2 linked regions of the Drosophila melanogaster genome follow. The protein of the gene in region 2 purifies or fractionates together with the protein of the main gene of each other region. This does not show direct contact. Each region holds a gene or a part of one and is shown on either strand. Other genes may lie near its edges.

Region 1 (3,264 bases), on a different chromosome or scaffold from region 2:
CAAGACTGCGAAGAGAGGTGAAGTGTGTCGAATTCCCGGATGCACAGTATCGCCAGCAGCCCCAGGAGCTTCAACTCCGACCACCATACGATTACCACACGTGAATCCGGAACTATTCAGGCAGTTCATCTTGTACGTTTACACCGCAAAGGTAAGAAAACTACTTATTAGTAACATCTAACATAATAAAATTATAACCAAAATTCATTTTTCAGTTGGTTCTCCAGGACTCGCAAGTATTTCAAATGATGATATTGGCACAGGATATCGGTGTGGTTGAGCTACGAACTGCCTGCGAGGATCACGTTATATCGACATTGTCGGTGGATAATGCCTGCACATTTTTAACCGCCGTTATGGATATACACGAAAAAGCAGGTTAGTAATATTGAGTAGCTCTTTTAGAAAATCACACCTTTAAAAGTAAGCAATTATGTGAAGTTGCATATTCGCGCCAAAACACTTTATACATTCTACATAATATGCTATGTCAAATGTATTGAGACTAACCATTCTGAAAGTTTTGGTATTTTTTGTACCACATCACATATCGATAAGAAAAAACATATGCACGTTGTGTTATCAGAATCACGTAACACGCAATGCATGTTTTTATTGCATTATCAAACTTTAGATATAACAACTAATCAATAGCTGGCAGATATAGTTAGTCCCAAGCTGCTCCAAAATGCAGAAGCCGATTCGTGTGTTTAGAACTTGGATTGTTCACGTTGTATTCTTTGGCCGTACACCCGAGAAATGAGGTTCCACGAGTCCATAAACCGGTCCATGCACATGGAAATGCATTTCTAAATTGGATATTAATGAAATACTATTTAAATACATATTCTATAGTGCAAAATAAGATATGTATAGCTTGCCTGTTCGGACGAATCGAGGGAAGTTCCCGGCTTATTGACACATTTTTTGAAGCACTTTTCGGTCATTTGCGTGAGCAATTCCTGGGCATTCGCAACAGCAATCTGTTGCTTAACCTGGTCCATAAGTTCACCTTTGTCCACATTAGCCATAGCCATTTGTTTGGTTTTCTTTATAAACTATAGTTTAATTCAGCTATGAATAAATGGCAACAACTTCTGCCCAACCACAAAAACTTAACAGTGCGATTGTGATAGTGTTTCTATCGATATGGTTATGCTACCAGAGGATTTACCATTTTGGTATCTTTAGGCTGGTCGATAGTTCGGTAGGCCGCGATTATGTGTGACCATCTGTGCTGTGCCATCGATATTTCTGCCTATCGCCTGGACGAAAAGAAGACGCCGGCAAAAAGAAGCGAAAATTTGTTTAACTCAAATTAAGTCGTCGGAAATCAGCAAAAATGTCGTTCAAAGGAAATCCCAAGGTGCAGAAGGTGATGGTGCAGCCCATCAACCTGATCTTCCGTTACCTGCAGAACCGGTCCCGCGTGCAAGTTTGGTTATACGAGAACATATCGCTGCGCATCGAGGGCCACATTGTGGGATTCGATGAGTACATGAATCTGGTGCTGGACGACGCCGAGGAAGTCTATGTGAAGACCCGGCAGCGCCGCAACCTCGGGAGGATCATGCTCAAGGGCGACAACATCACGCTCATACAGAACGTCAGTCCCACGAAGGACTAGGCGACTCAGCGGCCATCCTGCGAATCCTTCGAATTCCACCTGCAAACGCTGAACGCCCTTAATATAAGTAAAATAAATGTAAAGCCGATATCTGAAGACGAATGTTGAAATAAATGGTAGACTTTCTGTAATCAAGTGTTTCTAATGGGTAAGGTAGCAAATACGATCCGATTTCAGGACATATAGAATAGGATGCTGTCTCAAGGTAAAAGCCGTTGAGTGTCTTTAAAAAACAAGGAATTAATTTTAAACTTTCCCTTTAAATTTCAGGTGCCAAATGCGCTGCCTCGTTTATGGAACGCTGCATCATCTACATAGGGGAAAATGCAAATGAGTGCGTTAAGACTAATGCCTTCCTTACTTTAACAAAGGATGCCATTATTAAGATTATTTCCTCAGACTATGTAAGAGTTTATAATGAATAACCACTCAATTTACTGAATTTCTTTAATTACCAAAACTGTTAACTACCAATAGTTCTGCTTGGAAGAGGAGGAAGTGTGGCGCTGCGTTTTATCCTGGGCCAAATACCAGGCAGGAGTCACCCAACCCACTGCACATTGGACTGAGGAGGAGCGTGCTCGTGTCTGCCAACACTTAAGCGGTGTAATGGGTCACGTGCGTCTGCTTCTCATCGATAGCCAAGTTTTCGCGGAGGAAGTGGAACCTACAGGAGCTGTACCTATGGAACTATCCCTAGAACGATATCGCTATGCCGCTTTGCATGCCAATAAGATGATGGATAACGATAAGAGACTTCAGCCCCGCCTAGCTGTAGCGGTCAACATGTTTCCCGGATCCCAAATCCTGAAGAATGACAATCTGGCACTACAGACTGTTCTCAATAATTGGGTTGGAGTGGGCAAGCAATCCTGGAGATTAGTTTTCCGAGCGTCCACTCATGGCTACGATTCTGGAGCCTTTCATCGTTATTGCGACGGCGTGGCTCCTTGCATGGTTATTGGCTTGGGATCGCATGGAGAGATCAGTGGTGGTTATACGGATGTGGCGTGGGCCAAAACAAGCCGAAAGGGGGGATATGTTCAGTCCGAGCGAGCCTTCCTCTTTGCCTTGAATCCAGCCAATGGGGAACAGCCGGTCAAGTTTGATATTGTAAAGAAACCATATGCCATTTGCTATCATCCTGAGTAAGTGATGTCTAAAATAATCTTATATATTACATTATGTTTAGGAATTCGTACTGATTACCATGTCTGCTTTCCCCTTTAGTTGCGGTCCCATTTTTGGTGCTGGAGCCGATCTGCTCATTTCCAGCAACTGTAATACAAACATGGACTCATACTCGAATCTTCCGCATTCCTACGACGGAACCAACGCTGCTCACCTGACACTTTTCGGGGACTATAACTTTACCATCACCGACTATGAGGTCTATACCCTTTCCTCGCCGGCAGGAAGTAGTAATAGTGGAGCAAATCACAGCAATAATCAGAACCTGAACCACTCAACAAACGGCCAAGCTCCTGGGGTGCCCACAAAGGCAAAATACGATAGATACTAGAATTGGGGAAACAACTTGTAGTTGCATCAGCTATGCTGGCAATAAAACTATTTCCTTGAACGATCCAAACACTCGAATATTGTAATCCCAGATCCGCAACGGCTGGGCTAATGGC
Region 2 (3,757 bases):
AGCAAGCATGCGGCTCCCTTTAAGCGTCCCTTCCACGACGAGCACGCCCAGCGACATGCGGATCTATGCCTACGCCCCATGGATTTCCCCACCATCAAGCGGAACATCGACTCGGGATTCATTCGCAGCTTGAGCGAGCTGCACAGGGATGTCCTGCTCATGGCCCACAACGTTTTGGTGGCCTACAAACCACACACGGCTCAGCACAAAACGGCGCGTTTGTTCGTGCAGGACTGTCAGGCGATCAAAGAGTTCTCCCAATTGCCGGACGTGCAGGCAGGGATCACGGCCACGCCGGTGAGCAACACGGGAAGCTTGCGAGCGGATAAATCGAGCGGAAGCAAGGCCAGGAGCGGCTCCCGAAAGAGCCAAAGGCATCACTAGGCTCACTTAACTTTTCACACGTATTCATTTATGCATTTCATTTTGGAACTTACATGCTACATGCATTAACAATAAACATCAATCGAAGAATATTAGGTTCTGTAAGCGTCGAGATCTGGACGAGTGGCAAATGGAGCGTCGGTGTGGGCAGTAGTACCTCTTGAGGCACCTGGAAAGCCGCAGGTCGCATTGGCAGAGACGAGCGGCACAGGAGTCGGGGCCACCGAACTCGCCATGATCGACGGCGCACAGCGGCTTGCCGCGGTAGCACTTCCACACGTAGGGCACAAAGTATTCCAGATAGGAGATGCAGTTGCTCTGACCGTAGCACTTGTCGTGCACGCGACAACAGCGATCGATGCCATCGGCGGGCACTCCGTGGCCACCGAATCCGCAGTAGCAGCCGTAGCCCTTGTAGATCAGCGGATCACAGCCCGTGGAGCACTTGATCATGGAGTACAGCCGAGCAACGTCCCTCTTTCCGCGATCTCCCTCCGGCAAAAGCTCTTTTTCCCGGCTGCTGTCGTTGGTGAAGCTCCACTTCATGGAGTAACCGAAGGGATCGTTTACCCGCGCTATGTACACATTCTGAACATTCATCAGGTCCTCCATCTCAGCTGGTTTACTAGTTGTTTGTGTTATCACGCGTATGTCCGTCACCCGGCCATCGAAGTGGTGGTTCTGGAACTCCAGACGAATCTCGTCGTGGGGATACGAGTTCTGCCAGCTGATCGGCGGTCGAGTGTCCCTGTAAATCGACTTGGGGCGTAAACATTAATTTGTCTTGCGATGGATTAGATGTTTCGAAACATTTAGCTAACTAGCATATCTTAGAAGCAAAATAATAATTTAAAATAAAGTATTAATTAGAGAACAGCAGCTGTTTCTCTTTAATTAAGAACAGCAGCCAGAAATTCCATTTAAGTTAATGAACCAGAACAGAAAGACATTTATTTTGTAAGTAACTTTTGGTCAGTAACTTTTTCCAAATGCCAAATCTTTTTATATAGGTAATGTTCCAAGGAACTCCCACTCACCTATGATCCTGCTCCAGCGAGGCTACTGGTGGCTTCAGCTCCCCCGTCCAGCCATCCAGACCCATCTGCTGCCAATCCTGTTGCGGCGATACCATGAGACTGGTCTTCACGCTCGTTTCCGGCGGAATGGTACTGGGTGAATCGATGGCCGTGGCCGACTGGCTGATATTGGGGAAGATTGGTTCCGCGAAATCGGATCGCTGCATTGTTAGCAGCTCGAAGTCGTCGCCACCGCCGTTCGATTTGCTAGGCATTTTGAAGACAAAGGAGGGATTCGCACTGCGCATGCTCGCCCCGTACATTTCCGGTATTATGTGATTCAGCAGCTCCGTGTCGTTGGTGACGCCTCTGAAGGCGCTCCTAATGTCTTCGATTACCGTGACATTTGCCGCACCGCTCGCCTGTCCATTGAGCCGCACAGCGGCCACTACTAGCCCCATTATCCACAACATGTTCGCATCCAGGAACTCAAGCTGACCACCACTCTGCGCCGAACTGCTCGCCTCGAGCGGCTATCGAAAATTGAAGCTGGCTCGGCTGGGGGAAATGCGGTAGTGGCTCGTTTGCAGTTGGTAGCTCGTTGCTAGTTGGTCAACAGCAGCGAGCCAAGTACACCGGCATAAATGGCTCAAAAGCGTGTTAATAGCAAATAGCAAAGTAGCAGCTGAAAACGAACAGTGAGAGCAGAAAGAAACAATAATAACAATGACCGGGCAATACTTTTTTGGCAGATTTGGTGCAACTACACACAGAATTTCTAACATTCATATTAGAAAATATGTATAATAGAATAGTATTAAATAAATGATTAAAAACGAAAACTCGAAAGCCAAGTGATGGACAACATTTTTACACTATTTAAGGAACTTTATTAAGTTGTTAGGAAACTTAATTGAAAAATCTTCAAAAATACTTGGACTTAAATGATTCTCTCTGTGTAGGCTATAAAAATAAGCCCGTGAAGTTGGCCAGGGGCTGGTGGGTGGCCAAAACGGTGGCACAAATTTGAAGCCACTTTATGGTGACTATTCACTTGGGCAAAACTTTAAGTTTGAGAGTTAAGGCGAAGGTCGGGCCCTAGAAGCCATTGAATCCGCTGCAGTCGTAACCAGTTCACGGTCAATTTTTAGTGGGCCTTAATTGTAACAATTTGCGACTGCGTGACTGGTCTGCTTTCCCAGCTGCAAATTTGTGTGTGCAAACCACACAGACAACGGAGATAAAATATATCCACTCGTGTGCATGGAGATTATATGGTCATTCAAGTAGCTAAGCCAACTTTGTTTAACCACTGCCGACTGGCCATTGCACAGCGGTAATTTATAGAGTGCGCCCCCTTTTGTTACGTCGCCCCATTCGGTGGTTTTTGGTGGTTCAGTGGTCCAGTGCCTCAGTGGTTCAGTGCCTCAGTTCGCGTGAAAGGAAAAGCCAAAGCAAACAACTCAATTGCACTTGCAGGCACACTTAGTTGATATTAATACGGCATTGTGGGTGAAGTTAGGTACTCTAATCGCTGGCCCACACAACTGCTCATTCATATTTATGAGCTAATTATCACTTTGCTGCTCTTGATAGACGCGTATATTATTTAGATAATGTTTCTGGCGCCCAATGTGGGGCCACACCTCTTTCACTTTCATTGACACTTAATGTAAATCATTAACAAGTTTCTTCCTCAAAATTTATGTTAAAGTTAATACATTTTAAAAATAATTTATTAAGAAAGTTCTTTCATTCACAAATTTTTTCCGGTTCATTCGAAATTGTTACTAGTTTGATTAACTCCTAAATAAAAAATTGTAGTGTTTGAATTTCGCTATTTTTGCGCTTTTGTTATCGCTATAAAATACGATCGGAAAACCAATCGATTGAGACTATTCGACTTTCGGCCACCATCGATAGTCGGGATAGCGATACCAGCGCTGGCACGACAGGCATCGATTATTTCTCTTGCATCCCTAGTCGTCCGCTCCAATATAATAATTTCACTAGGCAACCTTAATGTAATAAGCGACGTAAAACCGGGACTAAATAGCTCCAGAGCGAATGCTTATTGGCTACCAGCGAGTTTGGCCGTCGTGCGTGCGATAGAATCCGATAAATGGCCGCAAACCGGGCAGCTGGTAGTGCAAAAAAAAGTGAAAAGTGCTGTTAACACAGCGAGTAGCGTGTGCATGTGTGAGTGCGTGCGGTTGTGCGTATGTGTGTGCGTGCGTGTCTTACGTTGCAAACAAAATTTCTTTACTTTTCAATCGGTTTTTTGCACTCGATCGGCGGCTGAAGCGGCGTTCTATAACTTTTTCTCCGATCCGCATAGCGCAGCATTGCCCACAAAT

Evidence for each region.
Region 1: the proteins of CG14507 (region 2) and CG34132 purify together in Drosophila melanogaster (affinity purification with mass spectrometry, with the first as the bait; one large-scale study listed by BioGRID). This does not show direct contact.

The regions. Positions count from the first base shown.
Region 1 is NT_033779.5:7,883,422-7,886,685, reverse strand, and holds CG34132 (uncharacterized protein), read right to left. Parts: upstream 1,184-3,264; 5' UTR 1,038-1,183; coding exon 882-1,037; intron 810-881; coding exon 711-809; 3' UTR 577-710; downstream 1-576. Other genes in the region: small ribonucleoprotein particle protein SmE, read left to right, coding at 1,343-1,627; CG7102 (uncharacterized protein), read left to right, coding at 1-151, 216-378, 1,898-2,031, 2,105-2,775, 2,858-3,149.
Region 2 is NT_033777.3:29,225,805-29,229,561, forward strand, and holds CG14507 (uncharacterized protein), read right to left. Parts: upstream 1,922-3,757; 5' UTR 1,874-1,921; coding exon 1,422-1,873; intron 1,133-1,421; coding exon 463-1,132; 3' UTR 400-462; downstream 1-399. Other genes in the region: Brd8 (bromodomain containing 8), read left to right, coding at 1-384.